Linked DNA regions of Daphnia pulex. The protein of the gene in region 2 purifies or fractionates together with the protein of the main gene of each other region. This does not show direct contact. Links are inferred from orthologs where the notes say so. Each region holds a gene or a part of one and is shown on either strand. Other genes may lie near its edges. The genes, in order: leucine-zipper-like transcriptional regulator 1 and tyrosine-protein phosphatase non-receptor type 9-like.

The links.
Region 1: the proteins of tyrosine-protein phosphatase non-receptor type 9-like (region 2) and leucine-zipper-like transcriptional regulator 1 purify together in Homo sapiens (affinity purification with mass spectrometry; 3 studies listed by BioGRID and IntAct, with this or other methods). This does not show direct contact. The link is inferred for Daphnia pulex from reciprocal best matches to the Homo sapiens genes PTPN9 and LZTR1.

What each region holds. Positions count from the first base shown.
Region 1 is NC_060017.1:2,283,129-2,287,628, reverse strand, and holds the start of leucine-zipper-like transcriptional regulator 1, read left to right. Parts: upstream 1-1,626; 5' UTR 1,627-1,664; intron 1,665-1,697; 5' UTR 1,698-1,781; coding exon 1,782-1,921; intron 1,922-1,995; coding exon 1,996-2,167; intron 2,168-2,234; coding exon 2,235-2,371; intron 2,372-2,437; coding exon 2,438-2,555; intron 2,556-2,640; coding exon 2,641-2,804; intron 2,805-2,866; coding exon 2,867-2,942; intron 2,943-3,002; coding exon 3,003-3,073; intron 3,074-3,149; coding exon 3,150-3,257; intron 3,258-3,327; coding exon 3,328-3,406; intron 3,407-3,472; coding exon 3,473-3,661; intron 3,662-3,721; coding exon 3,722-3,830; intron 3,831-3,918; coding exon 3,919-3,942; intron 3,943-4,008; coding exon 4,009-4,079; intron 4,080-4,149; coding exon 4,150-4,426; intron 4,427-4,481; coding exon 4,482-4,500. Other genes in the region: beta-mannosidase-like, read left to right, coding at 1-161, 258-509. UniProt on the Homo sapiens protein: Substrate-specific adapter of a BCR (BTB-CUL3-RBX1) E3 ubiquitin-protein ligase complex that mediates ubiquitination of Ras (K-Ras/KRAS, N-Ras/NRAS and H-Ras/HRAS).
Region 2 is NC_060018.1:4,169,612-4,174,191, reverse strand, and holds the start of tyrosine-protein phosphatase non-receptor type 9-like, read right to left. Parts: upstream 3,040-4,580; 5' UTR 3,034-3,039; coding exon 2,896-3,033; intron 2,724-2,895; exon of another isoform or gene 2,525-2,723; intron 367-2,524; exon of another isoform or gene 1-366. UniProt on the Homo sapiens protein: Protein-tyrosine phosphatase that could participate in the transfer of hydrophobic ligands or in functions of the Golgi apparatus.

The DNA.
Region 1 (4,500 bases), on a different chromosome or scaffold from region 2:
TAAATGAATTGCTGAACGAAACAGGTTGCACAAGAGAGACCTGCTTCATTACTAGCGCGTTCTTCGATACAACCACTGGCCAGGAAAGCATAGCGCCACCTAATTATCTCTTCCTAACATCTTTTCCGAATGTCGGCAACTTGCAGATGGCTTCTGTTGAGGTAATTTGTTTTCCTAAATGGGAAGTCTGCTTTCTTTGTATGTAGAATAATGGGATAGAAATTCATACAAATGGTTTTGTCTGGCCGCGATTCTAGGTCGTCGATGTGAGCAAAGTCTATGTTACTCAGAGATCCGAGTGGACGGTGAACATTACTTTGGCTACCGATAACGTTGCCGCTTTCGTCTGGATTGATTCTGGCACTTACTGCGGTACGTTTTCCACCAACGGATTCATGTTCTACGACCGCTTCAAGACTGTCAAATTCTACTCCAAAACTGAAATTGTCGACATTGGTAATTTCAAAAACAATTTGAATTTGATTCACTTGGCTCAAATTATTCTATGATTGTGGGCTGAACGTGACTATAATTTCTTCCTATCTTTACTTGTATACTATTCTAACCAGAAAAGTAATATAATTGTACCGGAAAAATCAGAATTGTTGATTCAAATTAATGAAAAAAAACTGAAGGTTTCGTGCTTTCTTAGAATTTGATTATCGAGTCGTGTTTCGGGGTAATTGATTCTACTTAAGATAAAAAAAAGCCCGATTGATTTATTTTCTTTTAAAATCTGTATCAAAGAGAGAAAAATTATTTTTAATTTGCGAAATTCGTGATCGTTTTTGGTATGTCGAACCGGAAACGAAAAATACAGTTTCGTAGTTCGTACAACGTAAGTCTGATCTTTGATTCTCGATCAAAAAAATGTAACTAAAAAATTTTAACAATGCCGAGATTGTTTTTCATGTTCAGACTGTTGTACAGTTTTGACTTTGAGAGAAGAAATAAGGGACTTTGGTCGCTTGAGGCTACCGCCAGTCAATTACGACAATAAATTCTACATCCTAGATTCAAAAAGGAAACCTTGATGATTTTAGATAGTTGATCTTCCGTTTTGTTGTCTTACATAACAAAACAAAAATTAATGGCAACATACTATAGAAGGAAATAATCAAAGCTGGGCATATTCCGGAAAATATCCCCTATTTTTTTCTTAAATTTTGGGCTTGGATAGCCCGATGTTAGCTATGGGATAATGGAAATTAGGACAGCCCGTCTGAAAATAGTAATATCCGAATTAACATTACGATGGTGCCCTCAATATAGTAGCCAGATTTTATATGAGACCTCTGTTTATGAGCATTCGTATTGTTCCATTCAGGCAACTTGCGGTGACCGACAGTTTTCAGAAACAAGTAATATGTGGCTTTCTGACGAGATGGAAGTGCAATAATAGTGCATGCATGGTCTTAACAGTAATCTATCGCAACGTACGTACCATGCCAAATATTACGACTTTTCAAGGAGCAGTTGCTGGTACGTCTAGAGGAATACATTTGTTTTACGTGATGGTAAATTCTCCTAGGGATCCTGTAATGGATTTTTTTTTTTTTGCAGTTTTCAAACTTACTCTTTTTTCACAATAGATGGCGAGTAAAATTATTCTACTTGTTTGGTCGTCTGCTTTGGTAACACCAAGGACGGTAAGGAGGAACACAACAGACTATCAACATCAGTATCACCAACACTACACACAGGAAACCAAACATTCAGAAGTGACTTCCTGTCTAATATGTCAAGATAGATATTAACGTGGATTTAGATTTTCAGTCACAATGTCAGATAGTTTTACGAAGATCGGCTTTGACCATAATTGGCCTGAGTCAGCTGTGTCCCTTACTCTAGATTTGGGTCCATTTGAAACTGTTCACAAATGGAAACGCATGCCAGACTGTGATGAATTTGTCGGTTTCAAGTAAGAATCATTTTTCCAACTATCTTATATGTATGGGATAACTTATGGTTAATCTGTTTTAATATCATTCACAGACGGAGTAAGCACACTATTGTAGCACACAAGGAAGCCATCTATGTTTTTGGGGGAGATAATGGAAAAAACATGCTGAATGATTTACTTAGATTTGATGTAAAAGAGCAATCTTGGGGAAGAGCATTTTCTACGGGAACCCCTCCTGCACCACGCTATCATCACTCTGCCGTGGTAAGTAGCATTTCATTAATTCATAAAAAAGTGTATTCATATAATCTTACTCTATACATCACAAAAGGTACATGAATCATCCATGTTTGTCTTTGGTGGGTACACTGGGGATATCCACTCAAATTCTAATCTAACGAATCGAAACGACTTGTTTGAGTATCGTTTTCCCACTGGCCAGTGGGTTGAATGGAAGTTCATTGGAAAGTAAGGATATATTTTTTACTACATATTTTTTTATCTTACATAATATTTGTTTCATAATTCACATAGAACTCCCGTTCCTCGTTCTGCTCATGGAGCAGCTGTTCATGGCGGTAAACTTTGGATATTTGCAGGTTATGATGGAAATGCTAGGCTAAATGACATGTGGACTATCTCTTTGCTCCCTGTAATATATTTTCGACTTTTCATAATTTATCTTAAACTTAGTTTGAACTGGAAAAAATTATCTAATGAATTCATCCGGTAAAAAGGGTGAGCCACGAACATGGGAAGAAGTTGTTCAAATTGGAGAATGTCCCCCTACTTGCTGCAACTTTCCAGTTGCCGTGGCACGCGATTCCATGTTCGTGTTTAGCGGTCAAAGCGGAGCCAAAATCACGAATAATCTCTTCCAGTTTCAGTTCAAGAGTAGATGGTAAGAGGCATGCTCGAAATCTAATAGCAATTTCTCGTATTCTAATTTCGCTAACTTCCTAGCTGGACACGTATCACTACGGATCACATTTTGCGTTGTGCTCCTCCTCCACCTACTCGACGCTATGGTCATACCATGGTATTATTATAGTTAATTTTCAGTAATAAAAAAAAATTATTGAGAAACAATTATTTGTAGGTGGCTTATGACCGTCACTTGTACGTGTTTGGCGGAGCAGCTGATAGTACTCTTCCAAACGATCTACACTGGTATGTGTCCCTGATATTCCTACGAATCTAGACATTTCTCATATGAATCACGAATAATGAATGTTCTCTTTTATAGCTTTGACTTGTGCACTCAAACTTGGTCAGTGATTTCACCATCTGCAGATTCCCACCAGATTCCTTCTGGTAGATTGTTCCATGCAGCTACCGTTGTCGGTGACGGAATGTAATTTTTCATCAATTACTTTATGTATTCAAAACATTTGAGTCCAATTCTATTTAAATGTTAAAATTAGGTATGTGTTTGGTGGCACAGTTGATAATAATGTTAGAAGCGGAGAAATGGTTCGGTTCCAATTCTCAAGTTATCCTAAGGTAAGATTTTTCAAAGTTAATGAATTTTTTAGATCTTTTCTGATTTTGACAAATGTATTTTTACAGTGTACGCTTCACGATGATTTTGGTAAATTGCTTGAGACGCGGCAATTCTGCGACATCGAATTTGTTGTTGGTCCCGATGAAAATCCCGTTCGCATACCTGCTCATGTAGCCCTAGTTGCTGCACGGTCTCAGTGGCTCAGAACTCGAATTCGTCAAGCCAAAGAGGCTCGCGACAAACATTTAGAAAAGGTTATTAACATAATCAACATTTTCTTTGGAAATCTTTCATAATTCATTATTTTTTATTAGGTTTTTGGTTCCTCTTTCGTACCATTCAAAGATCTTCCACTACTAGAAGTTCGTTTAAAAGATGCCGTTCCAGAAGCATTTGAAATGATACTGAACTTCATTTACACTGGTTTGTATTGACAAATTTCAACACTTTTATTATATGATTCGTGTTAATGTTTTATTACTTGGTTTATCGCCTCATTCTTATTAAACAGATTCGATTGATCCTACATTGAAAAGTGAGTTTGTTTTATGATTATTGATTAGCGTAACGTGATTTAACTATTATTCACTTACTTTTGCAGCGGGGAAGGAACCAGCAACTAGCAACCGTGTTGTGCTGCTCATAATGGATGTTTACAGACTCGCTGTTCAGGTAATGTATCTTATATGATGTAGGGTTGGAAAAAAATTTTTACCTTACCATTACTTTTTTGTAACCTTAGTTTCATATGCGACGACTGGAGCAGTTGAGTGTACAATATCTAGAATCGATTATCAATCACCGTAACGTTTTGGCAGCATTAGCTAATGCGACAACCCTTCGTTTATATTTTATCAAAGAATTCTGTCTACGCTTCGTTGTCAAGGAATCAAACTACAATGCGATCGTTATGAGCAACGAGTTTGAAACGTTAGATCAACCTCTCATGGTTGAAATAATTCGGCGTAGACAAGTGCCACACGTTCGGGTTCCAGTTGAACCTCAGTTTGATAACACAGGTATTTTGTGGTAGTTCTTATATTCTTATAGTTGTTTTATTTTTTCTTCTTTCAGGCACAAATCTTGAACAAGA
Region 2 (4,580 bases):
TCTGTTCGAATCGTTTTTATTTCTTTTCTAATAAGGCTCGTCTCTCGCTCGCTCTTTCTGGGAAAAAACTAGAAACCGAACTGTGTTGATGTCGAACATACGAAGCAGCACATTTCCAAATTGAAAAGACGTCGAGGACAACCCACGCGCACGCAAACACACGACACTTTTTTCTTTTGATAGTCGAAAGTCGCGCGAATATTTTTGGTGTACAAGTCTCGGAACACGGAGGAGCACCGTGTCTCGTCAAAAGTGCAGTGGACCCTTGAGAGAGCGTCAGACGGGCCGTTTAATCAACGACTGACAATCCCTTGCTTCCGCTGGAACGCCTCGACCGGCAACTACTAAAGTTGGAAACCCAGCAAAAGAGAGTTGGGGGGGGGGGGGGGTTTTCTTTATTTCTTTATTTCTCTTTTTCCCCTTGGCAGCATATCTCTCTCTCTCTGCCTTCTGGTTGGTATACGCTCGGTTGGACCTGAAGAGTTGAACGCACTGGTCACGTGACGTAACAAAGCTGAAACAAGAGACCCGAGCGTCCAATAAGCAGGCGGCGGCGGCCTCCGTTTCTCTCGGCTACCACAAGGGCCTGACCAATTTCTCCCTGGGTCTACGAGATCTACATGATACATCGCCTAGAGGAGCGTAAATTCATTCAAATCCCACATGGCTCTAGAAAATAGTCAAGGGAGAGAAAATAACGTGGGATTTAGGATTTTCACCTGGTTATAATTATACACCCTGGACTTCTAGCTACGATATTCGATTTTTTGCGGATTGTTTCCTGGATTGAAACGATAGATAAACTGGGGCTCGTCAACAACTCAGAGGTCGACGTCATCTTCTCTAAAAACGGATTGTGCGTCGCACTATTGTTGACGAGATAAGGTTCCAAGCGTATGGCCCCGTCAACAAATAATAGAAAATCCTTCCTCCTTGCGACAGTGCCACCACCTGTCCGTGAGAATGAGAGATCCAGCCGTGACGAACGAACGAAAAGATAACGAGAGAGAGAAAACAACAAGAGATCAATACCGACACATACACACAATGTGAGAATAATACCAGAGACAAACAATATATACAGCTTGTTTGCAACGGCAACATTTCCTGTGCTGTTGATGAAAGACGTCTCGGAAACCGATCGGCCGATACTGTGAACGACCTGGAACACCCCCCACCTCCCCTCGAGGGTTTCCCACTTGAATACTGCAGCCATTTCAGAAAAAAAAGAAGAAAAATAATTTTGATATTTCGTGCCAGACGAAATGCAGATGGTCCCCATTTTCCTAGAAAATCAAAATCTGATGACGACAGAGGAATTTTGGCAGAGTCCCCACCCTGTCTTTGTTTGAATCAAACACAAAATATATAAAAAAGACACGACGGAAAAATAAGGAGAGAGACAGCCCGGATCTGCTCACAACCAGGACGGGTTTGAAACATGAATATTCATCAAACGAATATCCTAAACTACAAAGAGCCACAACAGCCATTTTCCTGTTGCTCCAACCAACACACACACACACTTGTTTTTCCTCATCTTGTCGACTCGCTACGCCCGTCAAGTGGTGATTCTTCCAGCTAGGAAAAAGAAATGCACGGATGGTGTTGTGTGTGCGTGCAACTAAGCAATTTCTGTATCCCCCAATCATTTTTCCTTTTTTTTTGCTGTTGGCATCGGCGCCAAAAATACATTCCCTGGGTCTTTTGCCAATGTCCAATCCGCAAGAAATCAATAAACATCCGCCGGTTTTTCCCTTAGCCTCCTTCTTTTTTTTATTAATATAAGCATCCGCAGGAGCAACACGTGTTTTGCACATGCGCCGCAAATTGAGGCCAGAAATACGACGACAACAGCAGGAGAGAGGGAGAGATTTGTTTCCCCTCGCTCTAATTTTCCTTCCTTTCTCTTTCCCAACTTCCGGCCAAAAAGTCGGTTAGTTGCCTATGCATACGAAATGAGCGCCTTCAAAATTTCAAGACATTTCACACCCTTTGCTAAACTGTTTCCGGTCATTTCCTCTTCGCAATAAAAAATTCAGTGGTATCTCTCTCTAGCTGCACTTCAGACACTGGACATTTCAACGCACAAAAGTATCCGATTGCTTCACGGATGCAAGTGATGAGGTAACCACTAGACTGGCAACACAAAAAGGAGAATAAACGAATATTCTTGGGTTTCTCCCTTTTGGTCAGTTCTTTTCACTGCCTCTTTTGAATAAGAAACAAAAATTTGCTCAGGGCGGAAATCCGTCCCTGACAATCACAGCAGACGAAAATTCCCATTTTTAATGCACAAAACAGCCTCCCTATTATTAATGATTATCGGTTCAAGATGTTTCAAGGTCCCACGAAAATGACGTATGCAATGTGCTTGGAAAACAACGGTAAACATTCGAAAAGAAATTTCGTAGAAAAACTGAAATGGGCAAAAATGAATTTTGGGCGTTGTACGCACACAAGGGTCAAAAGAAGAAGATTTCTTCCAGGAATTGAAAATGAACACACACACCACGTTTGATACCTTAACGAGTGGGAAATCGCGAAAATGTGGGTGTGGAGTAGATTCTCCCAAAAAGACACGAACATACACAAACACACTAGGGGAAAAACGCACTGTGGAGGCGTCTGCCCAACACACACTATAATACCACGGGCGGCTTTCCCAATGCGCCGCGGTAGCACACACCGATCAAGGGGTGCTCCCTCCCCGATTCTTTTCTAGCAACTACTCAACAATGAAAACGAAATGATTTCTTTTTTTTTTTTACAGGTGATTGGCAGCGACCACGTGTTGACAGGAGACGTTTGAACGTGACGCAACAAAACGAGTTGAGTGTAACCAGTACGGGTGAGGGAAGAGGATTATGAAGCAAAAAAAATGTATTGGCTTACCAATTCCTCTTGGGCCGACAGTGTCGTGTCAGCCATTTTGAATACGACTGAATTGTGGGGGGATAGCGACTCTAGTGTTTCTAGCCACCACTTGAAAAAGCGCCACCAACACAGCTGCCCTTCAACTGCATTGGTCATTACAGTAGCGACGTTTTGTTGGTTCTCTGCGCCATCTAGGGTACGTTTTCTTCACTTCATTCAACTAAACTAACCATTTATTGCACGGCGGAAGAGGAATATGGTCATATGGACACAACAAAATCAAAAAATAGAATTTAACAATGGTAAAAAAAAAACTTAAGAAGGAAATAAATCATAATTGCTCAACAAATGTGAAATGAATGGTATGCCAGCACTTGCTTCTCAACGCCCATGTTTCTCGGAATGATGTAGTCGACTTTCTGAGAAGTCCGTCATCTGACTAGTCTACTCTTAATGGTAGATTAGTAGGTAATCGATTGTTCGAACTAGCTCATATTGCCTTTTTTTTATCAGGTCTCGCCCTGTAGAACGGCGTGATAAAAGCTTCAAAAAAGAAGCTGTCGGGTAAAATCAATCAGGACATTGTAGATCTGGTGTTGGAGAGGAAGCAACCAGAGACGTTGGGTAGTAGTGGATGAAATTAATATGAATAAACAAAGATGGGAATAAATATGACTAGACAGACCTTTCCACGCACACACGGAAATGGTACAGTTAAACTCCCAGGCTCATGTTTCTCGCCCTCTTCTTATATGCGCACCCCTTATTTCTCTCCCTTGAAACTGACGAGAAGTAGAACTTGTGATAAGTTTCCAGATTTCTTGGAGAGCAAAAATGTGGCCAAGTGAAAAACCAGACCGGCAATATCATAAGACAGTGTTACAAAAAGAAAAAGACACGACAGAAAATGAAAAGGGGACTGTTTTGTAATCTTGGTGCAGTTCCCACTCAAAAGTTTCTGGAGATAACGAGATAGAAAACTTTTCAGCGCGTCGTAAAAGTCTCTCACACGCAATCTAAACGCAGATGCAGCATTCTTGTCTATACTTTTACGCCTTTTACACCACTTTCACAATATCCGCATCAGCGATCTTCCTCTTCGTGCATGCACGCATCATGTATCTTCTTGCTAGATGAATGATTTGCATCCGACAGGCGACAGATCGATAACGATCAACTTTATTACTGTCTGAACGATTTTAAATTAGACAATTTGTATTCTTGTCATCCAGCGCCATTCTTTATTGATAGCAATAAAAATAAAGCAGACTAGCATAAACCACTTTTATCAAACTAGCATCTTTTGAGTTCGCACGCGAATTCGGTTTTCCAACCAATAATGCAGCCATACTCTCTCAGAGCCCATCAACTGACTTCTCCTTGGCCCTGGTTGCTTGACCGCTTTTGTATACGTATGCACATTCATCACTTGTAACAAATGTAGGCTAATTCTCTAAAACAAGGAAGCGTATATCTTTATTTTGTTAGGAGTTAAGACCGTAATGTTGCGTGATTAACTTCGATGCCAATGGATTATGAGTAAAATCTACTATCATTTAGGACAACAAATATAAATTGTTCATCTATTAGCTAGTTGTTTTAAAATTTGTTTTAAAATATTTTTTTTTTAAATCGTGCTGTCAGAACCAGTATCAAAGCGAACCCAAGCGACCATACTTGCAACTAAATCTGACAGACAGAAA